Linked DNA regions of Canis lupus familiaris. The protein of the gene in region 1 binds, or shares a complex with, the protein of each later gene. Links are inferred from orthologs where the notes say so. Each region holds a gene or a part of one and is shown in the gene's direction. Other genes may lie near its edges. The genes, in order: LAMTOR1, LAMTOR3 and LAMTOR4.

Region 1 (10,224 bases):
TCACACATCATCCAAGGTCCCAGTCCCCTATGTGGAATGGAGCTGCTGCTTTCCCCTGGGTGGGATTCCTTTACTGGGGAGGCTTGGCTAGGGCAAGGCTGGGGGTGGAAAGGAGGTGGGTGCTGACCATGCGCTCGTCAAAGCCAGCCAGGCGGATGAGTTTTTCAGCCACTGCTGCCATGCGTGGGTCCCATTCCACGGTGAGAAGGCGGCCCCCAGGGGGCAGAGCACGGGCAAGAAGCAGTGTGGAATACCCGAAGTGGGTGCCCAGCTCCAGCACGCACGCAGGGGTCTTCTCCTCCACCAGTCGCGTCAGGATCTGACCTGAGGGGAAGATGGCTGTTACAGCAGACATGGGAGATGGATTTGGGGTCCCTGATAGAAAAGGATCTCGAATGCCCACTTGCCTCACTGCAGCCCCAACCAGCTGGGGTCTCCTCTCGGACTACAGCTCTAGCTGCCCCACTGGTTCTCCCTTCCCCTCTTTCAGTTTCACTTCATACCAGCCATTAGGCATCTTTCCAACAAACAAATCTGACCCTGTTGCTCCTTAGTTCCTGTGATCCTCAAGGCCTTTGAGATTTAACTTGAGATCCTTAGCCTGACATTCAGGACCTTCCTGGACCTGATCCTATCCAACTTTTCCATTCTTCCATCTGTAGCCTCTACCACAGCCCTCCCAAACAGTGTGCCCAAAGTCAACCAAGGCAGCGCTGGCTCATTTTTTCATGCTGCACCAGTGTATGTGGCTGGCTCTGCCCTTCCCCTCCCCTGTCCTTATCTACTTGGCCAAGCTGAAAGCAATTCTAGGGTCTGCTTCCTCCAGGAGGGCTCAAACAGAAAGAGCCACAGGCTTCTGAGAGACTGTTGCTAGAACATCCAGTTTCATTTCCTCTTATTTTGTTCATTGAATATCTTTCTAACCTTGGAATTGGAAAAATTTCTTCAGACTCTAAAAGCACTTGTGCTGGGTGCCCAGGCAGCTCAGTCGGTTTAGTGTCTGCCTTTAGCTCAGGTCATGATCTTGGGGTCCTAGGATCGAGCCCCAAGTTGGACTCCCCGCTCAGCAAGGAGTCTGCTTCCCTCTCTGCTTCTGCCCCTCTCCCTGACTTGTGCACACTCTCAAATAAAATCTAAAAATAAAATAATAGAATAAAAATTGAAATAAAGTAAAATCACTTGTGCCAGGACCTGGGACTCCAACAAAGCCAGGCATTACTCTGAATGGGATGTAGGAGCCTCCGTGATTGGGGGAGAAATACTTAGCACAGATAATTACAAAGTTATGAGTTATATGCTGAGATGGTTGTCCCCTTTGTACTGTCCCCTTTGAGGCCAACATTTGTGGTTGATTCATCTGTGTGGCCTCTGCCTCCTTTTCCAACCCAGCACTTAGTACAGGCCTAGTACAAAAGTGGTGGCAATAACTGTTAGATGAATGAATAGCTTTGCCCAGCCCCCTCATTTGTGGAGGAGAAAAGAGAGACTCAGAGGATCAGGAACCTGCCCAATGCACCCAGTAGGCAGTGGTAGGTCCCAGACCTTCCTTACCATCTTAGGGGTGCTGCCTGGAGCAGAAGGGTAAGGAACACTGACCTTTGACAGGCCCCATGTGGCCCAGGTACTCGCAGTGGCTGCTCCAGTGGTCCAGGGTGGTGAGGATATGACTGGGGTCCCCAGGCAGGGCGTGGGTGAGCACATAGCTGAAGGCCCGCTCCTCAGCCCGTAGCCCTGACAGGCAGTCTCGGAGGCTCCGCAGCAAGACCATGCGCACCAGCAGTCGGAAGTAGTGCCGGTACCGCACCAGCAATGTCACCACCAGTGGCAGGAAGGCCAGTGCGATGGCGGGGGACATGGTCCCCACCAGGGCTCTGAGGTGAGAAGAGGCAGGGAGGGAAACCCACATCCACCATTTGTCATTTGTATTAATTGTCCCTATGTTTTACAAACCATAGCTCAGAAAGGCTGTCTTTTGCCCATAGTCACACAGCAAAATGGGGATTTGAATCTGAATTGGTTCAATGCCAAAACCATGTACTTACTTTCAAGGACTTCATGCTAGTCTGTGTTCTGCATCCATCCCCAAACCACCTCTTCCCACTTCTGCCCCTTGGTCCTATCTTCACCGTGCTTCTTCCATCCGTTTCCCCTCATCTCTTTAGTCACCTCTTCTGGACCACTTTCCATAGTCCCCTGAGATATCCCCCACCCAGCCTCCCCTCTGCCTTGTCTCCTCTGACCCATTAATGTGGAGCAAAAGAGCACAACTTTGTAGTCAGAAACCCCTTCGGGCCTTGTGTGCTGCCTCAGTAAAAGGCAATCAAAACACTCCATAGGGTGTTAGGATGCAATTCCTTCCCACCCCTCCATCTGTTCTTTCCTGAGGTTGGGAGGAGTCCCTGAGTCTCTGTCTCTTCTCCAGTCCTTTCATGCCTCCTCCCCTGCATTTGCCTTTTCTGTTCTCTTTCAGAATTCTTTTTACAAGCGTGTACACATACAGCACCCACTGTCCCCCCAAGCTCGAGCCTCTTCTTCCAGGGCCCCGATGGGGGATAAGTGCTCTTTCCTCTTGCATACCCTGGATGATCCTCCCTTTCCTCCACATCTGCCCCTTGTGAGGCCTCTGGTGATGGTGGGGACTAAAATTGAAAGCAAGAGTGTAAAAGTGGATGTGAGTAGGTGAGTGATAGTGAGTTTGAACTGGTATGCTTGGGAACCCACACTCAAGAGCCCTGCTTACCTGGGCTGGAGGCTCCGGCTGGGGGAAGATCAGAGCATAGGACAGGAGGGGGAGTCCTTGGGGCTAGAGAACCCTGAGGCAGGCTGGACCTGCTCTCAATTATTGATGCAGAAGCTGCTGCTGTCACCTGAGACCTGCAGTTCAAGTTACTGCAGGAACAAGGTGGGTTTGACTCTTACCCTTCTCAAGCCATGTAAGAATTTACAGAATTTCAGGGTTTTGATCTGAGGGGTATTAAGAGCTACTGGGTTCAGTGACCTCTCCTCTAACTCCTTGTATGTCCCCTCCCAGGACAGGGGACATGGTGTGACCCAAGGTAATGGGAGTCTGTAATTTACTCAATTCAAAATTCAATTGACATTTTGTCTAAGCAAATGCCAGGGTGTGGGTAGCAGAGAGGGTTCAGATCTTGTTCCTTTCCTCCAGGAACTCCCAAGTTTGGAGGAAGAGACTGATCCAGAAAAGGAGAATAAAACATAATCCAGTACTCCATTGATACACTTTAGGCTTTTTTGTGAACCTCTGTATATCTAGACAGAACATTGTGTGGCACATTACAGATAATTACTTGATTCAATAAATGAAGAAATCCGTATGGGATAGGGATTAAGCACAGGGAGCTGAGGATGCCCAAATAATGGGATTGGAGATGGCAATCAGGAGGTTACTGTTTGTAGTGAGGCTTGAAGACAGAAGAGACACCTAGTAGGGAGACAGTGTACAAGGCCACGTGTGGAAAGTCCAGAGGGTCTGTCAGGAAACTGCAAATATTTTCTTTCTTACGGCTGGCTGGCGAGGCATTACTCCGATTCCTGCACCACCACCAGCCCCCGTGACTCAGATGCTGGCATGGGAGGCAGGTAAGAGACTCTGCAAGATCTTGAATGACAGACGTGGACCTGTGTTCAGCGTCCAAGGGAAAATATAGGATGGTTCTAAGAAAAGAGCATTGTGTGTTAGATTACTATGGTTGCTTAAGAAAACCAAGCAAGATTGAAGAGACGTGCCTAAGGGCAAAGACCGTGAGGTGGCCTCTACCTCTTCCAGGTTTGAGCTCTGCTCTGCCTTGGTTTGTGTAGGAGTAAGGGCTCTTCTTCCAGTAAGTTGTCGATCCTTAGTCCAGGGTGAGAACTCCATTGGGTGCCACACTCTATGTGTCCCCCAACTGGACGCTAGGCATCTGGATCCAATGTACACAGAGACTTGTGTGCTCTAGAAGCGTAGGGCGTCAATTCCAATCGCCCCTCGCATGGCATTTAGGAGACCAAATCATAATAGCTTTTGGTAAAAGTTCACTCACTGGCCCAGAGAGGTAGCTTGGCAGCCACGCAACCACATAGCACGAGGGCCGGCCGCAGAGAAGAGCCCCCAGAGCCGGTGGACGAAGCCTCGATCTCTGAAACTGGGCAGAGGCTGAAGTCATGTGATCCGCCCCTCCCTTTCTCGCATCATGTGCCTCGAGTCTTGTCAAGCGAAGCGAGCCTTCCCATTGGTTGGCGATGATCACGCGGTGGAGGCGGGGCCGGAAGCCGGGGTGGCGGCGGCCGCGGCGCGGCTCTGGGAAGGGATAGGCGAGGAGGAGGGTGGCTGCCTGCTGGCTGTAGCCACGGGTCATGTGACCGGAAGGGCTCCCGACGGACGCCGTCCCTCCTCGGCTCGGCCTGAGCGCCCGGCCCGACCCCGGCCATGGGGTGCTGCTACAGCAGCGAGAACGAGGACTCGGACCAGGTGCGGCCGCGGCGGGCGAGGCTCGGGAATGAGGGTTGCGAGACTGGGGCGTCGGGCTCAGAAGAAAACCTGCAGAAGAGCGGGAGCAGGACTGCGGGGCTCATATAGTACGGCGGCCGGGAGGGGACAGATTACAGAGGGGACGCCCGGCCGGGCTCCTACCCCTGTTAAAGCCCCAGCTTTCTCTACAGTCTCCGCACTGGGGTGTGCAGGCAGGTGCTTGTCCCGCTCGCTCCCACCCCTTTCATCTTATCCTACCCTTAAACCTTTATAGCCTTCAGGATCCTCAGCCTAGGTCTCTGGGAAACATGGTCTCATCAGTTTTCTGTGCTTTTTCTGTGCTTGTAGGAGCGGGCTTTGTGAATCCATTCTAGGGATGGGTAAACTGAGGCTCAGAATTAGTTTGTCCTGCATGAATCAGGAATCTGTGTCTGCTCTCAGCCCCTGGGGTTGGAGAAGGAAGGTCACTGCCGATTTGGGGTCAGAGAAGGCGTCTGGAAGTAGGTGGCATTTGAATTGACCAGTGAAGAATTTAATAGAGACAATGACATCGAGATATGTGGGAAGTTGGGAAGTTACAAAGTGGGTTTCTGCTCTGGCTGGATTAAATGAGAGAGATGGGATGGGGAGCACAGTTTTGCCTGCCTCGTGCAGTTTTTGCCTGGGGCCTGAGGGTTCCTTCAGCTAGACGAGTAGTTGTCCTGGGAATTTGTAGATCTGATGCCTTTGCACAAGAGATTAAGCTGGAAAACTTGTGCAGTTTTTCATTCTCCCTCTTCCACTTGGTGCATTCTCACTTCTCACACCTTAAACCCTGCCCTGCCTGCCTATCTCTTTTTAGGAGTGGGGAGACCTTCCCAAGAATGAAGTCTCAAGCTCTTTGCCATCACCTTTTTGATTGCCTCTAAGCCTGGATTCTGCATTTCAACACATTCTAGACGCAGAGACGATAGAAAGATTTCTGCAAGTAGCTCAGAGTCTGGTGGGGAAGATGGTCACAGAAATGGACTATATTACTAGTATTTGCGAAGTAGGTCTTTCCTCAGTCACTCACATGAACCTATTTTGGATTAAGGACTTAAGGCTAGGAAATGTCATTTGTTTGAGAGGCATGGGTAGCTCCTGGGCCTCATTAATTTTCCAAACACTCAATGAACACATCTTATTTCCTATGCCTTATGTTAGGCATACTTTTTTTTTAAAATTTATTTATTTATTTATGATAGTCATCACAGAGAGAGAGAGAGGCAGACACAGGCAGAGGGAGAAGCAGGCTCCATGCACCGGGAGCCCGATGTGGGATTCGATCCCGGGTCTCCAGGATCGGGCCCCGGGCCAAAGGCGGGCGCTAAACCGCTGCACCACCCAGGGATCCCATGTTAGGCATACTTAATGCCTACTACTCCTCAGTTCACCTCAGTCTCTTAGAGGAGACAGTATTCCCGTCTACTGGGAAAACAAGGGTAGTGGGAAATCATCCCCGCAGGATAATACAGACTCTTGCAAGGAAAGAGTCAAGAAGAATTAGTGTCTTCTAATAAAGAATATTGGCTTCTAGTTGGGAGAACTAGGCTTGCTGCTTTCCTGAATTTCATCTTCTTCTTGACAGGCTCTCACTTCTGTTTCTAACCCCCCAGAGAGGTGCTTGATCAGTGCTGGGTGATTTGAGGCTTCGTGTGGCAAAGGTCTATACCATACCATTCACTATCTCAGAGTCCCTCTCCCACTTTCATCTCTACTCCTTTATTATAATAAAAAGAAACCTATTACACATTTTTCAAAGGCCTTTTATAGTTCTTTCATTTGATTTTTGCCAAACGTTTGTCGTATAGGTACAGGTCCTGTATTTAAAGGCAAGGAAAAAGTTTAGAGAGACTAAGTGATTTAGCCAAGGACAGAGAGCCGAATAGTGCCATAGTCACGGTGTCTTGATACCAAGCCATGTGCTTTATACATTGGACCAAGCTGTCTCTTTCAAACCTGTGCCCGTAGACCAGGTGGCTAGTCATGGGCAAGCCACATCTATGTGTCTAGGGCAGACAGTGAAGCCCTGACTCCTGGGTTGACACTGACTCAGGGACAGCCCTTGGTATGGAAAACCTCTTCCCTGCTGCAGTTGCCTGTTGAGGGTGGGATGACGTTATTTGTCCACTCTGATGGGAGTAGCCCAGCCTCCTCTGGGAGTCTAGGTCTCCAGAAAACAACTTTGTTCTTGAGCAACCCGATGGGAAGCTTATGCTCCGTCTTGCAGGCAGATCTGTCTCGAGTAGGGCTGGGGGAAGGATGACACCCAGGAAGCAAACTCAGGGTTCGTGATGGAGCTAGCTTTTCTGTGAGATAGCTCGGTCTGTGGCAAGCCTTTTGTCTTTCTAGCTCTTTAATACTTAGCCTGTGTTTTTAAGGGGGAGGGGCCGTGTTTTTAAGGGGATAGGGCAGAGTCCTACAGCTTTTGTCTCCTGTTGTGGGGAACTGGGGACACTTGGGCACCCTGGGCTTGAGGAAGAGTGTTGTGAAAACGCTGGGCCTGCCTAGGGTGGGGCGGGAGGAAGTGGCCCTGTGTAAGGAGGGTTGTGGAGTCAGGAGCCTTCCACGGGAAGGGCTGTGGTAGGAACTGAGAGCGGCCTGGAGTGGAGCACTGGTGGTCTGGCACTAAGGGTCGGTGAGTCAGCATTAGGCAGGATAGGCCCCTTGTCCTTGGCTTTGTCCTGGGCACCCTTGCCCTTTATGGCTTGGATAGATAACCAGCAAGTCTGCTTATCCAATTTGAAGCTGACACAAAGCCAGCAGGGATTTGCTGCTAATGGGCTCAAAGCAGGGTGGTACCCGGAGACATTGTGGTAGATGAGAACGAGGGACTGAAAGAACGAGGGGAAATATACACAGAATTGTGAAGGACCAGGGAGACCTGGTTTGGCCCCAGGTTAATTCTGGGGGTTTGATTATCAGCATAGGCTAGCAGTAACACGGACTACGGAAAATCAGCAAAACCACACTAACAGAGGTGTGGTGGATTGGCAAGGGAGGGAACAGCTCCAGTGTCAGGCCAGGCTTCACCAGGGGCACCAAGTATAGTCCTGGGAGTCATATACAAAGAGGACATCAGAAGAGAGTGAATACCTGTGAGTAGAAGGGACCTGCCCTCAAGAAGGGGGCACACTTGGGACTGTGTGACCCAGAGACTGGGACTCCTGCCCTGACATTATACGAGGAATAGAACTGTCTGGGTTCTCAGGGCGTCTGTCGTGGGAGCAGCCAGCTAGCTGGGGAGGGCCTGGCCTGGGGATCAGGAGTGCCATTCTTAGGCTCCTGACCTGCAGCAGTTTCTAGACCTCATTCCTCTGGCTTCCAGCTTCCAGTATCCTTTGTCTGTCAGGTGCTGGACTGTTTTCTGAAGCTCTAGACCTGTTACTGAATATATGCTTTGTGCCTGTGTCCATCTTTTCAGGGCCTCTAGGACTGCTTGGTTCCACTTTGATTCATTCTAGACCACCAACTCAGCTGAGCTCCTGAGGGCAGGCAGGACTGAGTCTTAGCTGACATGCCATATACTTGGGCACTTAGGGTATTTTTTGGTGCTTCAGGGTCAGAGCTGGGCTGAGAGAAGAGCCCAGGAAAGGCAGGTTGGACTAAAGGGTCCAGGGCTGACTTCTCTCCTATCACCTCACCTAGGACCGAGAGGAACGGAAGCTGCTGCTGGACCCTAGCAGCCCCCCTACCAAAGCCCTCAATGGAGCTGAGCCCAACTACCACAGCCTGCCTCCCACCCGCACAGATGAGCAGGCCCTGCTCTCCTCCATCCTTGCTAAAACAGCCAGGTGAGCACCACAGGACCAAGCCTGGGCAGAGCTTCTCTATCCATGTTAAAGGATGGACAGAGGGACAGGGCCCAGGACATGGGGGATGGGACAAAGTCAGTGGCAAGAGGTGCTTCTGGGCCCAGTCCTACTCCACTGGGCGGGCAGGGCCAGTGGTGTCAGATAGCCCTGGAGTTGGCACTTGGCAGTGAATCCCGTGTGTCCCTCTTGAAGCACCTGTCATGTTCCCTCTGCCTCCTCTCCCCAAAGCAACATCATTGACGTGTCTGCTGCGGACTCCCAGGGCATGGAGCAGCATGAGTACATGGATCGGGCAAGGCAGTACAGGTGAGACCTGGCCAGCTTGGGTCCCCCCTTCAGGCTCCTTGGGCTCCTCCCTGCCCCTTATCCAGCTTTGGAGCCTGGGCCCCAGGCCAGGCTTCTGGTTTGGGTGAAGCCCAGGAGATGGACGACAGATCTCTCCGCTACCTCAGCAGATGTTCGTGTCAGCCCTGTTTGCCCCATGGCCCTCAAGGGTGCGGAGGCCAAGGGAGGTGGGCCTGAAGTGAGTTTGTGGTGAGCAGAGGTGCCTGTCACCCTGCTCCTCTGGCCCAAGGGACTGAAGCTTGCCTGGGCTGGGCTGGGCTGGGCAGAGCAGACTGGCCTGACCGCTCCCCGCCGTCCTCCCTCTTGGCCAGCACCCGCTTGGCTGTGCTGAGCAGCAGCCTGACCCACTGGAAGAAGCTGCCACCGCTGCCATCTCTCACCAGCCAGCCCCACCAAGTGCTGGCCAGCGAGCCCATCCCCTTCTCCGATTTGCAGCAGGTGAGCCACCCCTGAGCCCACCCGCGCCTACCCTTCCCTTATAGCTGGGCTGTGGCAGAGGGCTCACCCTCTCTGTCTCAGAGGCGGTAGGGAAGTGGAGTTAGGGAGCCTGGTAGCTCGAATGCCCCACTCACTCTCACCTTACTTTGTATCTTCCCCTCTCTACCTTTATTCTCTTTCTCTGCTTTGTACTTTTCTGTCTTTCCCGTCATTACCTTTTTCTTTGGCTTCCTGTCCCCCACCACCCCCTCCTCTCTTGCTACCCGATCCCCCTTCCCCGGCTTTCCGGATCTCTCTTCTCACTGTGTCTCTCTGTTGCTCTCGTCCCTGGTCCCTCTCAGGTCTCCAGGATAGCTGCTTATGCCTACAGTGCACTTTCTCAGATCCGAGTGGACGCAAAAGAGGAGCTGGTTGTACAGTTTGGGATCCCATGAAGAGAGGGATCCTTGGACAGCTCTTCTCCTCTCTTCACCCCGTCTCCACCCTGCCTCCCCTGGGCCCCCAGCCTCACTGCGGCTCACACAGTACCCTAACCTGCTACTAATCACAGAGAAGAGTGTGGAGGAGGAGAAGAGTGAGGCTGGAAGCCTGAGCAAATGAGGACAGAGCAAGGGAGGGCAGAACCATTTGGGACTGGTGTTCAAAGCCCTGGCCAGGGATGGGATGGGGGTCAAAAGATTAGGGCCTGGTAGGTCTTCACTGTCACTGGGAAGGTGAAGATACCAGTGTGAGGGTGATCCCTAGGGGGCCTATAGGGGCCCCCTTCCCACCCTTTCTCTTGGCCTCACTCCTTCTCCCTCTCCCTGACCTGGTGCTCACATGCACCTCACTAGGGTTTGTGACCAGGGTCTGGACGAGCTTGAATTTGAATGAATTGAGTTTGTATTTCTAGCACCCTGGGTTTTTACATGTTTGGGGTTTTGGGGTTTCGTTTCGGTTTGTCGCCCTCGATAAAGGAAGTGTATTCATCTGTGTGCTGGTTGCAGCCCCTCTGTCCTGCCCACCACCCTATAGTACTATTTGTGGTCTGTGAGCAGTGAGATTTGGGGGAGGAGGGGCTACGTCTTCTAGGGGCACAAAGAGGAATCCAGGAGATAAGGGTACAGGGTTCCCAGGTTTTAGCTGGAACTTGGCTTG
Region 2 (9,995 bases), on another chromosome or scaffold:
ATTGGCTTGATGCAATGATGCATTGGCAGGGTAAAGTCGGGGAGGGGAAAAGAAAAATAAACAGAGGCTTAGAAGACAAATTGAAGAAATTGTTTTTTCACTGAGTCAGCTGATGAATGCAAAAGGGTTTTTATGAGTCCCAGATTGGTGACAGAATTTACAATCTATTTAGTTGTTTATTTTCTCCAGTCTAACCCATCAGCCAAGGCATGAGCAGTGGAATACAACTCATCAAACTCATCCAGAGTTGGAGTTCTGTCAGGCTGAAGGTAGGGGAGTTTAAGATGTTGACATGTGAGTGATCCATTGATTGTGATTGTTTATTGTATGCAAGCCAGAGATCGTTTGAATTAGTGATTTCTCAGGTGACTGCCTGAATCCAGGGTGTGAGGACAGTAAGTGATAGTATAAACGAGCAAGTTATTGCCTATGACTTTATAATTGTATTCTCCATGGGCCAAATCCCAAATCATAGCCAGAATCAGTATTAGCAAAACATTTTCCAATTTGGCCAATCTAAGTGATAACATTTTCATTTTTGTATGTTGGAAAATCAGCAAGACTCTCCTTCCCATGAGTTTGTTTATTTTTAAAATATTTTATTTATTTATTCATGAGAGACCCCGAGAGAGAGGCAGAGGGAGAAGCAGGCTCCATGCAGGGAGCCTGATGCGGAACTCGATCCTGGGACTCCAGGATCACACCCTGGGCTGAAGGCAGACGCTAAACCACTGAGCTACCCAGAGATCCTGATAATTTTTTATAGGAAAGAAGAATTAAAAAAAAAAATTTCTAATGGCTGAGTAATATTCCTCAGCCATTAGAAACGACAAATACCCACCATTTGCTTCAACGTGGATGGAACTGGAGGGTATTATGCTGAGTGAAGTAAGTCAGTCGGAGAAGGACATTGTATGTTCTCATTCATTTGGGGAATATAAATAATAGTGAAAGGGAATATAAGGAAAGGGAGAAGAAATGTGTGGGAAATATCAGAAAGGGAGACAGAACGTAAAGACTCCTAACTCTGGGAAACGAACTAGGGGTGGTGGAAGGGGAGGAGGGCGGGGGGTGGGGGTGAATGGGTGACGGGCACTGAGGGGGGCACTTGACGGGATGAGCACTGGGTGTTATTCTGTATGTTGGCAAATTGAACACCAATAAAAAATAAATTTATTATAAAAAAATAAATAAAAAGAAAAAAATAAAAATAAAAAATAAAAATTGAGAGGTCCTAGGCATATACAAAAGCTAAGAGAAACTTAAGCTAAAAATAAGCAGAAACAAAGGCTTTTGATGCAACCAATAAAGTTAGAACTTTTACAACATGTACATATTTAACTGTTTAATGTATTATATTTATGGTATACTATTTCTCTAGAATGCTGTGTACTAGAAAATTTGAATAGTAAGATAAAATTTTGTGTGTGTATGTATACAGTTTCTACTAATTTCTTCCTGAACCTCAGGGATCAGCTGGTATACCCCCTTGGAGAACTGGTACATAGTGCTGATAATCCTTTAGGCTGGTAAATATTTTCCCTAGTCTTATACCAGCAGCAGTGAGTAAATTCAAAACAGATCCATAATTCAAAAACCCCCACACTTGGAAATTAGAAATCTAAGTTCTTTCAATTTGAGGATGTAGTGATATTTGGAGAGTTTAGAAAGCTATGCTCTCCCTTTTTTGCCACCCAAGAAGAAAAAAAATCAGTATTTTCCAGGTCAATTATCATTTATCAAAGTCATTAGGATGGATGTTAAGTGAAAAATAGCACTTCCGGAAATTAAAAGAACTTGCTAGAGTTCATGTTTTTATTTGCCTCTAAACTTGGGCAACTAAGAAGTTGTCATCAGGGCCAGAATTAACAGTTTCTTTTAATCACTTTTATTCCACAGATGCTGAATGAGTGCCTACAGAATGCAAGACATTTAGTCATTGCAGGAAACTGGAAAAAATCCAAAACATGACCCAGCCTTCTAGGTGTTAGGGTTTCATTGGGAAAACAAATCAAAACTATGACACATAAATTATGCACAAATATCAATTATTCTAGGTAACATATAGTAGCATTCAAGAGAATGTGATATGTGAGAAGATACTGTCAGAAAACAAGATTTACATATCTAAGGTTGGGCAGCTCGGGTGGCTCTGCGGTTTAGCGCTGACTTCAGCCCGGGGTGTGATCCTGGAGACTTGGGATCGGGGGAGGTCCCCCATCAGGCTCCCTGCATGAAGCCTGCTTCTCCCTCTGCCTGTCTCTGTGTGTGTGTGTGTGTGTGTCTAATGAATAAATAAGTAAAATATTTTTAATAATAAATAAATAAATATCTAATGTAGATATTACATTATCTGGGTGGCTCAGTCAGTTAAATGACCAACTCTTGATTTCAGCTCCCAGGTCATGATTTCAAGGTCATGAGATTTACCCCCTACATCGGGCTGTGTGCCCTGGGCATGGAGCCTGCTTAAGATGCTGTCTCCTGGGACACCTGGGTGGATTAGTGGTTGAGCATCTGCCTTCAGCTCAGGGCCTGATCCCAGGGTTGGGGGATTGAGTCCCACATAGGGCTCCCTGTGGGGGTCTGCTTCTCCCTCTCCCTCTATTTCTGTCTCTCTCTCCTTCTGCCCCTCCTCAACCCTGTGCATGTGCACACATGCGTATGTTCTTTCTCTCAAAAAATAAATACATATTTAAGGTAGAAAGTGAAGGGGTGCAGAACATGCCACCCCAAAATATGCCACTTAGGCATATTGATTATTTTGAACTGAAGGCACTAAGAAAACAGATGCAGGAAGGATTCTTTGATCTCTTTTACCAAAAAGCAGGTCTTAAAATTTCCTCTGAGAAAGGTGCCCTCTTACCAGGAAGAGAACATTCTTACCACCAAAGGCAAGACTGATGCCAAAATGGACCTGTACAAACAAGTCTACTAAATAATTTTTATCTGCCATTGGTTTCACGCATATATTTCAGAGTCACTGTCCCACAATTTACTGTCCCTTACCCAAGCCCCCTTTCTTGTCACATCTCCACAATTTGTTGTTCTTTGCATAAAAAGGTATTTAACCTGTGGACCTAATGATTTCTTTGGACCTTACTTCCTTCTGAAGACTGCCATATACACATAAGAATATTAAATAAATGTGTATGTTTTTCACCAGATAATGTATCAGTTTAATTCTTAGGCCCAGCCATAAAAACCTAAGAGGGTAGAAGTATGTTCTTCCTCCCCTGCAAGAGAAATAAACATTTGAGTTTAAAAGACCCTCCAGAACCAGTGTGGAGAAAGAATAACCAGTGATGGAAGGGTGAAGTAATCAACTTGGCTGGAGTACAGGATTCACATTAGAATGTATTTAGAAGTAAAATAGAATGCTTGTGTCAGTCTAAGACTGTCAACTTTATCAGTCTGCAGTGGTACATACATCGCTAAAGATTTTTTGAACAGCAGTAATGTGCATTGTTTTGGAAGGCTTATCTGGCCATTACTAAGTGGCTATTAATATCATCTTGCTAAATACAATAAGGGTTTGAATGAAGAATTGAAAGAATATAGATGAAAAAATCAGGAACAAAAGATTAGCAGTCCCAAACATGATACCTGACTAGTAGAATCATGGAAACAATACAGATACACATTAGGAAAAAAAGCTTAAATGAGAAATTTTTGGAGCTTTTGAGTCAGAGCTGACTAAAAGACATGTATGTAGAAATATCCAACAACCCACAAGCAGCTGAAAATGTGAACCTAGAATTCTGAGGAAAGGTGTAGACTTGGGACTCATTCTCAGGAAAATGGGAAAAGAGAAATACAGAAACCAAAGACAAGCTTTAAATGCCATCATCTAAAGAATCAGGAAGCAAACTAGACTGGGTGAGGACCGAAAATAAGTAATGCAGCATCCCAGAAGCTAAGAAGTCAAAGGGTTTAATTCAAATAAGAAAAAGGACGTGAACTTCAAAATGTGAGTTGCTATGGAACTGTCAAGTTCACTTGTAATAATTTGGTCATTTTTAACAGTTTAAACAGCTGTGTAGTTTACCATTTCATCTTCTCAAGGATAACCAGGAAATCAGTGTCCACCATGTCTTGGGCTAGAGTTAATTCCTATCGCCCTCCGACTTTTAGGGGTTGGGAGCTGAAGATGAGGAGTCCTCAAGTTCCCATAGCCTTCGTTTTCTTACCACCAATTGTAGGTTTTTGTTACATGTGCAAACGAGCACCAAACAAAATATTGTTACTCCTTAGAAGTCACAGCCTCCTAAAACATGAGCCGACGGCAGGTTATCCAGTATCTGCACAAGTTGAGTTGCACAGCTGTGAAAACTCCAGGAGGCCCAAGGCTCCTCTATTCAATCTAGACAGGCCCCTGCAGAGCACTCTTGAAAAAGCCAAGGCAGAGGCGGACATTGGGGTCAGAAACCTATGAACCCGGGACCTACCTTCCCCCCCTCCCCTCCCCTCCCCTCCCCTTTTTTCTTTCTTTTCTTTCTTTCTAGATTTTATTTTTAAGTACCGTCTTCAGCCAGTGGGGCTAGAACTCAGCACCCCGCGATCAAGTCCTATGCTCAATGGACTCAGCCAGCCGGGCGTCCCAGGCACCAGGGGCTTCAGGGCACAGGAATCCTGCATGCCGCTCAGCCTGTAAGCAACACCCCTTCAAACTCTCTCATCTGAAGATGAAAAAAGTCTTAAGATAACGGACCTTGAGAAACTAATGAAATGTACGCACCCTCCCCACACAACAACGTCGTCTCGCATACTTTTCCCGGGGCTCTTTAAGAGCCCGACGGTTTCCAGCGAAGCCCGCATCCACCAGCGAGCCGCCCCTCGTCCTTAAGCCTTGCGCAGGCGCAGGGAGCGGGCAGAGGGCTGGGGCGGGGCGGGGCGGGGCGGGGCCGGGAGGGGAGGGGCGGGGCCGGGAGGGGAGGGGCGGGGCGTGCCCGACGCCAAAGGCCCTCGCACCTCCCCGGAAATGCCGTGTCTTCGGGCCTCGGAGACAGAGAACTGCTTCCGGGAGCGCGGAGGAGGTCACAAGTCATGTGACGACGGCTTTCCGGGGAGACTTGTCTTTGAAACTGTCCCTGAAGTTACGGCGGAGAGAGCACCGCAGCCCAGAAAGCCAGTAACTCGAGCCGCTTCGCTCGGTATACAGCCGGGGCCCGCAGGGGGCGCGAGCGGTGAGACGGAGAGGGAGAGCACTGGCCTTCCCCTCTCCTTTGGGCCTACATGTCGGCGACTGGAGGGTGGAGTGGGCTGAGGTAGGGCATCCCAGCTTCCTTCTGGCTCTTTGGGAACTCCCACCTCGCTTGGGCTTCCCTGGTGCGAGTCCTAGAGCCACGGATCCTTGCCCGGCCTTGATGAGAGCCGACTCCGCTTATTAGGCTGGAGGTGAGAAGAGAGTGAGAAGAAGGTCTTGAGGGGAGAATCACCAGGAGTTTCTCTTCCAGGAGTGGAGATTGATCCTGCGGAAGAAAGGGGTTCGTCATGGCGGATGTGAGTTAACACACCCACACAAGAGGAAGCGGGGAGGGTGGGGAGTTTGCTGGAGGCCTACTGCGCGGGGAGAGGCAGAGCTTCCCGAGCAGAAATGAGTTTACTTTTAACCCGCCCACCGCCATGTATTTTCTGTAGACTCCGGAGTGAGTGACTAACATGAAGAGATGTTCTGGGTCCTGAGTTTCTGCCCACGGTGAGGGCGGAGGACGCCAAGGTGTCTGAGGTGGAGAAAATTGTACTCTTGCCACTCCCCAGTCCAGCGGGCGTTAAGAGAGGCTCTGAACACCATTTGAATTTCTAAATGGCGTTTTGCGGCTGTGTGAATCTACTTTTTCCCAGTAAAGTGGTCATGACGTGTCTCTAGATTCACTGGAGGCAATTTGAGATGATTTCTGACTGATAACCTCATTAGCACAGCAACAAAACCCAAATTCGAAGTTTAGGAAACTTGATTGTACTAGTTACTAGGAACAACAGGGAATTAACACTACGAATCTTTATATTTTACATCCTGTTATTATTTTACTTCTGTACATGCTGGGCATTCTTCGAAACACTGAACGTATGTAATTCTTACAACTTTCAGGAAGTAGGCACTGTTACTACCCTTGTGTTCTAGATGAGGATGCCAAGGCATAGAAAGGTGAAGTAACTTGCCTCAGGTTACACGGCTGGTAAGTTGTAGAGTCCAGGTACCAAGCCAGACAGTCTGACTCCAGAGTTTATGCTCTTAACCGCTAGGTTAAATGGTCATTAAACATTAATATGAATGTGATTTTTTTTTCTTTTTGGTTGCAAGATTATGTGTTTGAATATTTAGGAACTTTGTATGCCTTTACATACAGACACTTCATTTTTGGGGGTGTTTGTCATTATGTTCTTGAGACCTTATTCTCCAGGCATCGTCAAATCACTATATATCTATTGAGCATCACCTTGCAAAGGTTGTTGCAATAAGGGCTGTGGGTGAAATAACAACAATTAAGGTATAATTCCTCTCTTTAAGGGTTTTTAAATTTCTTTTTAAGGTATAGTAAGCAGGTGATCATAAATGTATATACATTATTGTGTGAAAATTCGAAGAAGAGAGGGATTACATCTGGTTTGTATTTATCAGGAAAGCTTATTTGGAGTATTTGGTGGTTGAGATGAGCTCTAAATAAGTAGCATTTTTTCTTAAAATTCTTTAATAAAGAATTATTATTAAAATGAATAGTATAAGCAAAGTTTGAGAGATAGGAAAGGGAAAGAGATGTGTGTGGAGGAGCTGTGAGTTGTCCACTTTTGCTGGGGCTGAGGTTATGAGGGTGTGGTAGGAAGCAAGACTGTAAAATTAGGTGTTGACCGTATTGTAGAGAGGCTCAAATATTAAAAGAATTTGTAGAGAATTTTTTAAACAGTGGAGAGCCACTCAGATGTTGGTTCTCAGCCTTGGCTGCACACAGAATCATCTGGCACCTCTAACCCAGGTGAAAAAGTACAATAATATGGCTACTAGCATTGTAGAATTGTATGGGATAGAAATGGGAGACCAGCATACCAGTTGGACTAGCACAAGTCATAAATAAAAAAGTGAACCTGAATTATAATGTCAGTTGAAAAGGAGAGGAAGAGATCATTTTAAAAACATTTGACGTCACAAATCATTTAGAAGTGATAAAGGTGATGTTATTGATGTTATTAGGGTTAAATGTTACTCTGTGTTTCAGACCTGAATAATGGGATTGGTAGTGCCATTAGTGGAAACAATAAGAGATTGAGGAAATCTATATTTCACAAGAAATGTTATGAGTTGTATTTTAATGTGTGTGTTTAAGATAAGAGCAGAGGTTAAGATGGTGATGATAACATAAAATAAAATGAACATTCAGGTTTAGAGAATAGTAGGGATTAGAGGTTCAAAACAACAGATACCTGATTTACCTAGGTAGACCTCATAATTGATACCTAGATTGTCAGTGAAATTCACCAGGTGAGAAAGTGTAAGGAGAGGAAATAAAATAGTGTTTAATTTCTTTAGTCCCAGCTCTCTTCCATGCTTAACACTTGACACACATTGTCATTTACTGTAGTCATGAAAACAAATGGAGTTTCAGAGAAGTGAGTTTACCCATGATTGTTAAAGTGACATTAGAAGGCTTATCTGTGGACACAGAAAGATGTTTATAATACATTCTCAAGTGAACAAGACAGTGGCAACAGGATGTAAAATAGTATGAAAAATATGATCTAATTTTACAGCTAATATGTATTTGCTATATTTTTGTCCAGATAGGCTAATTAGTTTACATACATCTTCTCAATAAATTTTAACAACAGTCTTATGACATAGGTTCTGTGATTTATCCCTTCTCAACAAATAATGAAACTGGAGCTTAGAGAAAAAGGCTAATAAATAACTTGTTCCAAGTCACACAACTAGTATCAAAATCAGAAAGAAAACACAAGAAAGATTATGTGAGTGACAATTTAAAGTACCTGAAATGTGGGTGGGACAGTAACTAGAGAACCAGTACAAGGCATATTATTATAATGTGATTTCTTATATTCTCTTTCAGGACCTAAAGCGATTCCTGTATAAAAAATTACCAAGGTAAAAAATTACTAATTTGTTATTAAACAAATTCTGCATAATATATATTGATTTTATGTAACATTTCGTTTCTGTATATTATAGACTAGTATGTATATTATGCTGCTGTTTAGCATTTTCACATATTTGACATTAGCACAAGAAATATCCTTTGAATTTGCAGATAAATAATATGAGGCTTAGAGAAGTTATGTGACTTGTCTGAAGTTAAACAGCTCATGAATGCCAGAGGGCTAGAAGTTAGATTTCTTGTCACTTGAGAGTTCTTTCAAATATACTGTCAGCAGTTTACTGGATTATACTTTAAAGTAGTTAGAGCAGTTTTAAGGGGAAAAACCCTAAGAACATGCCTTTCCTCTAGTATCATTTTTAAGACCTAATTGCTGAGTCTGCATAACCCAAAAATGCTGGATATAGACAGCATTCATACTTGGAAAAATCACAAAGGTTTCTTTTGCCTGCACCCAGTCCATTCGATGCACCAGTATCAATTAGGTTCTGTGTGGACGACAGCAAACTTCCTTTTAGATATTTTTGTGGTTCAAAGAACTTTGTCACTTTAGTTGTATTAAAATTCACATTTAGCTTAGTGTAAAGTAATACCTGAGAGTTAAGAATATGAGAAAGAGAATACAACTTGAAACATCCATTTTTATATTTCAGCATTACTGAATGACCTTTGAGGTGTAAAAGTGAGATTTTTTTTTTTTTTTTTTTTTTACTTTTTTAAGAATTCTCCAAATGTGTGAATTTTAAAAGATTTTGGATGTCAATTTATTTCTGTAGGTAGGTTAAAAAAAAAAATTCTCTTGTTTGGATTTTTGCGTGAATTGTTTGACGTGGTTTGCCTATTGACTTGTGCCTTTACCCTGGCTGCAACCGGTAGAAATTAATGACCTTGTCTCCTGGGTTTGATTTATGTATATTTTTCTATATTCAGGAAGAACATACTATTGAACTGTTAAGTAACTGTTACTTCTGGTTTCATGTTAATGTAGTACTTGAATTCATTTTCACTCTCTTCCTTCTAGTACTTGCAAAACTAGAGCACTGATTCTGTTCTTAACATGATGAACAGGCTTTGCTTGGTAGTTCAGGGCCATAAAAATGACTGTACAAGCCGAAACCGTCCAAAGCAATTTTAGTAATCCCTGGGGAAAATGACAGTTGTTTTGTGACCTTTAGAAGATTTTGTCAAAACATTAAAACCTTTTGTTGGTTCTGTTTGAAGGGATAGAAACAAATGCTAAAACCAATATTTGTTTAATACACCACAATTTAAAAACAGTGGAAATACTGAGGATTACAGTGTTAGTTTCTTTGTAGAAAACTTCTCAAGTGTGGTTTGAACAGTGCCTGCTTCTTTGCATATATAGTAAAATATATGAAAGGTAAAACCTTAAGATAAGGAGCAGGCATCTTTTCTGTGCCTTGGCAAATTGGCATACTCCTTTCTAAATGTGGATCAGCTTCCACCATTTTGTCCTTTGTACTGTTGATGTTCAGAGTTTTTTGCCAGCATCACTTCCTCTGGGAGATTTTCATCCTTTTCATCACAGCCCACTTTCGTAAATTCTGTCAGTAAGTGCACTTTCACGAAGCTCCTCTAACTGCACGTCTTGTGCACAACAGTAAAAATGTCAGCATTCTTTTGGCCAGTTATCTCATCTATGAGTGCTTGCTTTCTATTTGAATTTCACTTCCAGCATTGTCACCTTTACTTCCTTTGCTGTATTTCATCTTTATTAGCCAGTTCCCTATTTCAGTTCTGTTTTTCTTTTTAATGTCATATGCTTTTTCATTGGAAGACAAGGAGATAATAATACTCCATGCTTTACTGTCCCTGCATAAACTAAGTAACAGATGCTCAGTGACCAGTCACCGACACACTTTGAAA
Region 3 (10,025 bases), on another chromosome or scaffold:
AATCAATCATCTACTGATGGTTCTCAGCACCTATTAGCAGTGTCTACACCAGCTGGTCACTCTCTCCTTCCTGATACATACTCTTCACTTGTTTTCCAGGACATTTCACTTTCCTGGTTTCCTCTGATCTCACCAATTGTTCCTTCTTAGACACCTTTGCTGATTTCTCCTCTTCTCACAACCTCTTGGCGCTGACATGGCCCAGGGATCATTCTCTTTTCTCTGTACACTCACTCCCTTGTTGAGCTCATCCAGTTTCATGGCTTCAAGGGCATCTATCTATCAGCACCTTCCAAATTTATATTTCTAGCACAGAATTCCTTCCTGAATTCCAGACTCATATCTGTCTGTTCAAAATCTCCACTTTGATACATAGCAGATAGATATGGGCAAAAATGAATTCTAATTCCACCACCACTGACTGTCCTCTAAATAAGCTACTCTATCCTTAGCTTTTCCCATCTAAGTTGATGATAATACCATCCCTCCAGTGGCTTGGGCCAAAACCAAAAATCATTCTTATTGCTTTGTTTTTTTCCCCATATCCTACATTCAATGCATCCGGAAATGCTATTGGTGTTACTGTCAAAATATTTATAATCTGACTACATCTCAATACCTCCATTACTACCATCCTGCTCTATGTCACTATAATCTCTTACCTAATTGGTCTTCTTGCATCCACTCTTCTCTTCCTATAATCTCTTCTCAACATAGTAGCCAGAATGATCCTTTTAATAGTGAGATCATACCATTCCTCTGTTTAAACTCCTTGGTGACTCTCTATTTCACTCAGCATGAGCATGCATTCTCAACAGGAATAATATCATTTCCAGGGGGATGGAAAGTTGTTTCTTAGGGGTCAGGGTTAAAAAAAATCTTGGATATTACAATGGTTTGTGGCTGTTTGGAGGGCCACAGTACATAGACAAATGTAAGTTATATCTATGGTATTAACATTTTATGAGATAGTAGTAGTTAGGAAAATAAAATCTAAAAAGTCTCCTAAGGGGCAAAAACAAAACCAAACCAAACAAACAAACAAACAAACAAAAAACAACCAAAAAAAGTTGACAACTAAGAGGAAAAATCAAATTCCTACACAGCTGTACATGATCTGGCCCCCATTATCACCTTGCGCTTCTCTCCTAATACTCTCTCCTTGATCAGTTTCAACCATATTGGCTTCTTTGCTGATTCTCATATATATCAGTCATGCACATTCATACACATACACACACACACACACACACACACACACTGAACCTTCACGAAAGTTACCTCCATGGATATTCACTCTCAGGTTTCTCCAGGTTGACTCCCTCACCTCCTTCCAGTCTTTGCTTGAGTCTTCTCAACATCTCAGAGAGACCTACCATTGACTATGACCACCCTATTTAACTCTGCAGCATGTTCTCTCTTACCTTCACTCTGGCCCCCATTTACTCTGATGATTTTTTTCCCATACCACTCATCATCTTCTAACACACTATTTAAATTTCTTATTCTATGTATTGCTTTTTTTCTGTCTCCATCCACTAGAGTATAAGCTCCATGAGGGTAGAGATCTTTGTTCTACCCACAACCTCTAGAACAGTGTCTGGTATAGCATAGTAGCTTTCAATAATGAATGAATTAATCCTTTCCAGCCCTAGAGGAAAAACTTAAATCCTAGACATAAATATAAATTCTGTTGAGTATGAATCTATAACTGGAAAAAAAGTATAAGGCCAGGGCTGAGGATGTGACTCATGACCACATTATTAATTCTGTCTGGGACCCCCTCCTTAAGGTCATAAAAATAACCAGAAATTGAGGTATGTTAAAGCTGTATCTGGAGCCTAGCCCAGATGGAGAGGGACTTTTTGCTTGGGCTTCACATTCACAAAAGCCTCAAATGTAGGTTTTGAACATTCCTTCCAAAGGGAGTTGGTTATATATTCAGCCAGAGACATGCCCACAAGAAAAGAAAGAGACTTACAGATTACAACTTAACTGGTGTCTCATTACAGCATTCTGCCTCACAGATTAGCTTTGTAAACCTGATAATTATTGCAGGACTGTCAAAACCATAAAGCTTTGTAATATCTCTGTGTTAAAAGCATCCATTTGTTAAATGTAACCATTTCAATCATGCCACAATTTTGGAACCCTGATTTTGCTTCTCTTTGGTTTTTCACATATCACTAAATCTGAGAAATGGAGTGGCCTGAGCTTTGAGAGAGCCTGCATGTGTTAGAAGGGCTTTGTTGCCTCTTGGCCACAGAAAACCAAGGAAGTGGACTCTCCAACATTATATGGGCTCCCAGCAATCACAGACTGCCAGGCCCGAGACACTCAAATGCCTCCTCCCCTTCTGGCTCACAAATGCTTCCCCTAAGATATGCACTTACAAAGCGCATTCCTTCCCCTTTGCTCAGTTATCCCATAATACTCCGGCGTGGAGGCAGGAGAAAGCAAGTGGGAAAGGATTACCCACAACTCAGGCCCAGGTATGAATGCTGCCACAGAGACTGTCACAGCAAAGGGGCACCCACCCTATTTGGGTTTTGTGTCAACTTGGCTAGGCTATAGGATCCAGTGGTTTGGTCAAACATCAGTCTAAATTACATATACCCATCAAAAGACTTCCCAACCTTCACTCTGCCTTTCCTGGCTCTTAAGCCTGACATTTGATTCAACCAGCACTTTTTGAAGACTGTGGGGTAGTAGTCATATTCTTTGGGAATAAAGTGTTGAAAACATCACAGCCCTGACCCCGTGTTGCTCAGCTTCTAAGTAAGCTAGGCTGGCAACGAGTAGTAGTAAAGTATAGTCAGTGCTACACTAGAGATATGAGCTCCTTAACCCCATTGGAACAAAGTGTGTATGTTGGGAGGGATCAGGTTGGGGAAAAATAAGGGAGTGTGTAGTTTCCCAAAGTCCCAACCTCCAAATATCATCAAAATAGGGATCAGAGTCAATATATGAATTTAGGGGTGGGGGCACACAAGTATTCAGACTACAGCAATTATCAACACTTTGAAACCCTTTGTATCTCTTTCTATCCCATCCCTGACCCAATTTCAGAAGTGGCCATTACTCTAATTTTTAAAAATCATTCCCTTGATCTTTATCGTTTTGAAACAGATAGATAGATAATATCTGACTCCAATTCCAAGAAGAGTGTCTGGTACACAGAAGGTACTCAACAAATACTGGTTGAATGAAAGAAGGAGAAACTGTGCTCTCTACAAGAGTAGTACGATTTGTAAAAACAAAACAATTCTGATGATGGCTAATGAGCATTGTCCTGCAAAGGGCTCCTCTGTATCAAGTAAAATTAAAAAAAAAGGGAATTTTTGAGATAATATTAAGTAGTAACTTAAATAGTAATAATAAATGTAGTTGGCCGATGGAGCAATGGGAAAAAGCATCAAACTCAGTGTCAGCAAACTTAAACTGGAATTTGGCTCTTGCACTTGCTAGCTAGTGTGCCTGTGAGCAGGGCTTAGCCTCTCTTAACCAGAGACCTGCTTCCCGTTTCTATGGATTTGACTGGGTTGGACATTTCACAGAAATAGAATCATACTCTGTGTGGCCTTGTGTATCTGACTGCTTTCAGTTAGTAATGTTTTCGAGGTTTATCCACCTTGTAGGACTTATCAATACTTCATTCCTCTTTTTACAGCTGGATGAAAGGCCATTGTATGGCTATATTAGGCTTTATTTCTCTGTTGTTGAGTTTATGGATATTTGGGTGGTTTCCATCTCCCGGCTCTTAGGACTAATGCTGCTATGAACATAAAAAACGTGCAAGCGTTTTTTGCATAGACATGTTTCCAATTCTCTCAGGAGTCCATCTAGGAGTGGAGCTAACTCTGGACTGAACTTTTCCAGGAACCGCTGATGGGTTTTCCACAGCAGCGGCACCATTTCACAGCCCCATTAGCGAGGCAGGCGGGCGCCAATTTCTCTACACCTTCGCCAAACGAGGTGTTTACTATTTCGAGAACCAGCCTTCGTTCTACCTCACCAACACTTTCTGTCACTTTGGTAGCGCGGGCCTAGAAACTACTTAAAACAAGTTTCCGAGATGACACTCGGGTATTTAAAAAAATGACTTCAGAGTCCTGTTTCTAATTTTTCCTGGCAGAGAATATTTAGCTCCGCGGCTGCCTAGCCTGAGGGGAGGAGGCGGGGAACTCACTCACCGTCACACCGCTCCTTACAGAATCTCGGGAGGGAAAGCAGCTTTGGGAACAAATCCCTGTCCTAAAGAGATAGTTGCCTAGAATAGGGATATGAGTAGCATTTGAATAGCTCTTCTCGCGCATTTCACGTCATTTCACTTTATTTTCTCGCTCGTGGTCACACTGAGGAGCAGCGCGGCCAAAGGAGAAACGCTCGCCCCTCTGCGCGCAGGCGCACACCCTCAGTCCCCCCCCCTCCCTCCGGCCCCCCCCTCCCTCCGGCCCCGCCCCTCCAGGCCCTTCCCTCCGCCGACACGCCCCCTCCCCGAGCTCGGGGCTTAGGGGCTGGGAGATGGCTGTGAAGGAGGGCCTGAGACCAATCCGCTTGCGTCTACGGGAAGCGGCGCTTCGCATTGGCAGATTAAGGCTGATGATGTAGCCATGTTCCAATCCGCACTTTGGGGGGCGGGGCTTAACTTCCGGAGCGCCAGGGTAGAGGGAACCGCCTTGTGGAAGCACGTGACCTGGGTCTGGAGCCGGAAGCTACCTATCTGACAGGGAGCGCCCCCAGCACCTAAGGCTGCGATGGTGAGTGAGGACGCATGCGCGGGAGTACGCGCTAGGGGTTCTGTATGTCTGTTCCCCAATCTCTTTGGTTACCCCTACTTGGGCCTACACTCCGCCCTTACCTCCTGTCCACCCGAGAGGCAGAGAGAATCGAGATGGGAGGGGAGGCGACGTAGAGGGCTGAGGAGGGACCTGTGCGAGGGTGTATGGGCGCTGGGGAGTAGTCTGCGGGGGTGGGACGGGCCACCAGGGGAATTGGAGATGGGGCAGGGTGGGGGAAGGGAACAGCGGATCTACAGAGGCCAAGAGAGCCCAGGGTCAGAGGGTGAGGAAGATGGGAAGCCTAAGATCAGTGTTGAAGGCTTTGTAGAGGCTAGAGGGTCTGGAAGGGCCCTGGTTGGGGAAAGAGAAGGTTCGGGCGGGGCGGGGGCGGGGGGTAGGGAAGTTGTCAAAAAGCCTTGGGTTTGGAAGTGAAGGGCATCTAGGGCCATCCTGGTATGCTTCTCTAATTGCATCTTTACCCTCTAGACTTCTGCACTGACCCAGGGGCTGGAGCGAATCCCAGACCAGCTTGGCTACCTGGTGCTGAGTGAAGGCGCAGTGCTGGCGGTGCGTTCTGGGCAAGGGAGGGGGTCCCCCATGGACACAAGGCCCCGTGATCCCTTTTACCATAGCCCAGTTTAGCCTAAGTTGTCTCTAGTCTCAGTCTTAGCTATCATGCTGGGCGTGTAGTAAGCTTTCAGTAACCAATCAAATAAATCTCTGGAATCGTAGTCTGGTACTTCAGAGTGAAAGAGGTTTACTGACTTTACCAAAGTCAGACAAATAGTCTTTTGTTGATAACTGATATATATTATCCAAGTTTTCTCGAATTGTCTTTAGTTAGTATTTATGTAAGAGGTTTTGTATTTTGTTCCATGGTGCAATATAGTGTTAAGCTCTCTGGAAGTTTCAATGGAGCTGGAGAGCATGGCTTAAGGTTACAAGTTGAAAGTAATGCAAGTGGTAAAGACTAGTGAAGGAGACCAGAAAAATGAAAGATTCAACCCATGTGTTATACATTATGACAAGGAGACTTTCTTAGAGGAGGTAAGAATTCAGCTGGGCTTAAAGGATACATAGTGAACAGAAAAAGAGAGTACTCAGGGTTGGAGTGGTGGCTTTGTGTTGAAGAGATTTGGAATAAAAGATTCCATTGTGGAGGACTTTCAAGACTGGGTTGGTGTCAAGACTGGGTTAATCGTGAGGGGAATAGGAGCTTTGAAGGGGTTCGAATAGAAATGTAGGTTAAGGAAATAGTTGAGCAAGATTCTTCTATTAGGTGTGAAGATAAGCTGGGAGGGGTGGGATTCAGAAGTAGGGGGCCTGCTGTGAAAATCTAGGTCTGAGACATGTCTGGCAGCAGTGAGAAGGAGCAAGGAGAGAAGGAATTTTAAAGGAAGAATCAATATATATTGGTAATGACTAGAGATAGGTAACAGAAGAGATACTTCTTCATGTAGTAAGACTGAGCCCAAGCCTAGACTGATGGTATCTTAACAAAGAGGAAATTAAGAAAGGAAGTTGATTTTGGAGGGGGTGAGATAAAGGGGAATTTTGATGACTTGACTTTAGATATTTTGATATAGAATGAGAGCAGTTAGAGTACATTGCTAGGAACTAAGCATCTCGCCAATATCTCAATGTAATCTTCAATAAGCCCATGGATAGGAACTTGTCCCAATTTACAGATGAGAAAACTGAAGTGTGGAATGTCTAAGAGAACAAAGGGCACTTCCTTAGTTGGGAGGTCCATGTTGAAGAGGTTGGGAGAGGAAATTGAGACAGTTACCAGAAAAGAGGAAGCCTAGGTCACAGTCATATCATTACCCAAGGGCTAGGTAGTAGGGAGGGGCTCAAGGACAAAAAGTATGTTCAGTTATGTTTCAGATTCTGCAGATAGGGCAACAAATAGAAAGACTGAGGAAAAGAGGGAGACTTGAACTAGTCAGTGGTGGATGAGCACAGATGTTTGAGAATGGTTTTATTAAGAAGTGGGGACAAGGGAAGAAATCAAGTTTCAGGGATTAGGAAAGAATGGTCAGTAAAGAAATGAATGAGAGTCACTGCTCACAGGGGGAAGCCCCATATTGTAAGGATGAGAAACAAGATGGCCTCAATAGGAGCAACAATATCATAGGAAAGTTTTGGGTTTGTTTTTCCAAAAATGGGGGGTGACCTTAGGGGTACTAGGAAGTTGAGAGGGAGAGGTTACAAACACTAGAGCCAAAGTGACTGTTCTTGGAATTCTTTCCCAGTTCTGTTCCCTAATTTCTGCCATCCCTCCTCCTCCCTCTGCATGCAGTCATCTGGGGATCTAGAGAATGACGAGCAGGCAGCCAGTGCCATCTCTGAGCTGGTCAGCACAGCCTGTGGTTTCCGGCTGCACCACAGCACGAATATACCCTTCAAGCGCCTGTCCGGTGAGCCTCAGCCCCTGCCCCTGGTGGTGGTGGTGGGAGGGGGTGGGGGTTGATCCCAGAGGCTTCTCTTCTCAGGGGGAAAAAAACACCTGTCTCCTGCCAACCTCCCACCATCTCCCCCTGGGGTCCCTGGTTCTGGCTACTTTCTTCCCTTTGGGTGGGATTCATCCCTGCATCATAACTGTGAGAAACCAAGAGAAGGAAGGAGACATAATGGAGCCCTCCTATCTTCAAATCTTTGAGCCTTCAACTATCAAAAATGCCTTTGGCTTTTGATCCCACCAGTTGATGTGACCCAGTAGAGGCCGTTGTACCCCACTAACTCTGTGCTCCCTTCCCTCTCCTGGGTGGGGGAAGGTGTGTCTCCTCTCCAGTGGTCTTTGGAGAACACACGCTGCTGGTGACCGTGTCAGGACAGAGGGTATTTGTGGTGAAGAGGCAGAACCGAGGCCGGGAGCCTGTTGACGTCTGAGCCTGCCAGAGGGCAAGGGGCAGAGGTGGATTGGGTCCATGAGCCTCCTCGATGAGGAAGACGCAAACCTTCTCCACCTTTTTCTTGGCTTGCTGCTAGAACTAAGGCTTTCTGCTCACCCACTTCCCCTCCCCTCCCCTCGAAGGGCAGAGGCTTGGGGACTTTGCACTGTGTCGGGGAGAGTGAGGGCAAGGGGATCTCCCTCTTCTTTCCATCCCTCCCTCCCTCCTAATAAAACATGAGTCTGATGTTCCCAGGCCTAGGAATGTGTGTATGAGGGGCGTTACACCCCAAGTCTGTCTTCCATCTTCTAGGGAGACAGTCATGTATGTTGGACCAGAGGGGTAGTGTATATAAAACTGGCAATCAGAGGATAATATGGTAGGAAGGGGGTTGAGGGGAGCTATTTGGTGTGCATGCTGAAGGGAACCACTCTGAGCCTCTGGGGTCTCTGCTCCTGCTGCCAACACACAAATGAAAATCATTCTTCCCCCTCCTGAACAGGCATTTAATAGTCTTATTTCAGTTGGAAGCAGTAATTGGAGAATAAGTTACAGGAACAGATAGATTAAAAAAAACAAACAGAAAAAAAAAAGAAAACCCCACACAACTTAAAGTGCTTCAGGCTGCAAACGTAAACATAAGGGGCAGGAGGAGGCCACCTGGCTATCTCCCCTTTCCCCTGAGACAGGAGGGTCATTGTCCGGGTCCCTTTACCATCACCACCCTCTAATCTCAGCCCTGCAGGTGGGTGGGAGGGAGGGAATGTCAGAGGCAGGAGAGACAACTTAATAGGAACAAGGAATACACTTTGTAAACTTAGAACCAGGGTACAGGGTGGGGGGGGGAATGGAAGGGGGGCAAGGGAGCTCTTGAAGTCCCTACCCTGGCCTCGGGGTGGGGCCTTCCCCCCCCCCCCAAGGGAGATGAAGAAATACTGTTGGCTTAGTGCTGTAGCCGTACCCGCCCATTTTACAGCTTCTCCCCTCGTCCCTCATCAGCAGACACAGACAGGTGGCCTTCTTGGGCCTCCTCATCCACGGTGGAAGGCATCCCAGGGGAGGCAGAGTCTGGAGCCAGGACCCTCTCCAGGGCCTTTTGGTTTCTGGGAGGTAAGAGGGAGGAGAGCCTGCATGGTGCTACTTGACAGGCTCCACCACCAGGACCTTGCACTCACGCTTGGCAATCTTGTCCAGAGAAAGCACAGCCTTGTCCGGGGGCAGGTAGAGGGGGCGGCCCACAGGCGAGGCCACAGGAGGCGTGATGGCCCTGCGCTCCATCACGCTGCCTGACCTGGGAGAAGGCAGAGGCTGTGGGCTCCGGATCACACCCCAGGACCCTGATCTGCTCCTGCCCCAACCCTGGCCTCTACCCGGTACAGTGGCACCAATGGCACACCTCCCCTGCTTCTGTACCTCATGAGGTGGCTGCGGGACGGCTGTTGGTGAGAGAAGGATTGAGAACGGCCCAGGCTAGCCTGGTGTCTCTCCACCAGGTCCCGGACAGCAGGGCTGCTAGGGCTGCTCTTTCGAGAGAGGGGCCGGGCCTCAGGCGGAGGGTGGGACACACTGGCTGTGAACTGCAGCTTCAGTTTCATGTGCTGGCTCAGCTGGCGAGGGGAGACACAGGTCAGTGTTCCAGCTCAGCCTCCAGGCCCCAGCCTTCCTTTCAAATCAGGTTCCCCATTTGCCCTGCCAATGCTGGATCTAAACTCCACCTTCATTCTGCGTGGCTGTTCAGTGCCACCCATGGTATTTCTTCCACAGAGGCTGGTGGCTCTGACTCCTCCCACCCCGACCTTCCACACAACCCATCACATACAGTCCAGCCCCTCCCCAGCCCACCTCAAAGAGTCCCGTCCTCAGAGCCTGGAAGGCCACACTGAAGGTGAGCGCACTGCCTTTCCGGGAAAAGCCTAGGTTGTTGAGGGGCGTGTGGCAGACAATGGAGTCCAGGGCTGCCTGCATGGCCCGTCGCTCCTCCTCACACAGCTGCTTTCCTGGAGGGGGATGGCGGGGGAGGGGGGAGTTGTAAATGACAGAACCAGCCACCAATAAACACATCTGTACAGAACTTCTCAGTTCACAAAGGGCTTTCATGAGCACTCCTCAGAGCCACTCTGTGGAGTAAACTGAGTATATGTCATCTTTTGCTCAACTTCTTCATAAATTAACACCTAATACTTACTGTGTGCTGAGGTCTATTCTAACCACTTCACTTCTGTTAAACTGTTAAATCACCAAAACAACCCCATGAGATATTATTTCCCCCCATCTTAGAGAAGAGGAATCTGAGTGAGGCTCAGAGAGATTAAGTAACCTACCTAAGGTCACACAGCTAGTGAATGCGAGA

Evidence for each region.
Region 2: LAMTOR1 (region 1) and LAMTOR3 share a complex: the UniProt entries of both Homo sapiens proteins name them as parts of the ragulator complex. The link is inferred for Canis lupus familiaris from reciprocal best matches to the Homo sapiens genes LAMTOR1 and LAMTOR3.
Region 3: LAMTOR1 (region 1) and LAMTOR4 share a complex: the UniProt entries of both Homo sapiens proteins name them as parts of the ragulator complex. The link is inferred for Canis lupus familiaris from reciprocal best matches to the Homo sapiens genes LAMTOR1 and LAMTOR4.

What each region holds. Positions count from the first base shown.
Region 1 is NC_049242.1:26,094,743-26,104,966, forward strand, and holds LAMTOR1 (ragulator complex protein LAMTOR1), read left to right. Parts: upstream 1-4,278; 5' UTR 4,279-4,426; coding exon 4,427-4,468; exon of another isoform or gene 4,469-4,543; intron 4,544-8,137; coding exon 8,138-8,283; intron 8,284-8,532; coding exon 8,533-8,610; intron 8,611-8,960; coding exon 8,961-9,087; intron 9,088-9,428; coding exon 9,429-9,521; 3' UTR 9,522-10,061; downstream 10,062-10,224. Other genes in the region: transmembrane O-methyltransferase, read right to left, coding at 128-324, 1,597-1,871, 4,041-4,078. UniProt on the Homo sapiens protein: Key component of the Ragulator complex, a multiprotein complex involved in amino acid sensing and activation of mTORC1, a signaling complex promoting cell growth in response to growth factors, energy levels, and amino acids.
Region 2 is NC_049253.1:18,044,316-18,054,310, forward strand, and holds the start of LAMTOR3 (ragulator complex protein LAMTOR3), read left to right. Parts: upstream 1-4,992; 5' UTR 4,993-5,153; exon of another isoform or gene 5,154-5,456; 5' UTR 5,457-5,493; coding exon 5,494-5,502; intron 5,503-8,063; coding exon 8,064-8,098; intron 8,099-9,995. UniProt on the Homo sapiens protein: As part of the Ragulator complex it is involved in amino acid sensing and activation of mTORC1, a signaling complex promoting cell growth in response to growth factors, energy levels, and amino acids.
Region 3 is NC_049227.1:9,316,913-9,326,937, reverse strand, and holds LAMTOR4 (ragulator complex protein LAMTOR4), read left to right. Parts: upstream 1-4,752; 5' UTR 4,753-4,757; coding exon 4,758-4,802; intron 4,803-5,267; coding exon 5,268-5,348; intron 5,349-7,083; coding exon 7,084-7,201; intron 7,202-7,548; coding exon 7,549-7,673; 3' UTR 7,674-7,925; downstream 7,926-10,025. Other genes in the region: NXPE family member 3-like, read right to left, coding at 4,194-4,316; TRAPPC14 (microtubule-associated protein 11), read right to left, coding at 8,813-8,966, 9,089-9,282, 9,518-9,672. UniProt on the Homo sapiens protein: As part of the Ragulator complex it is involved in amino acid sensing and activation of mTORC1, a signaling complex promoting cell growth in response to growth factors, energy levels, and amino acids.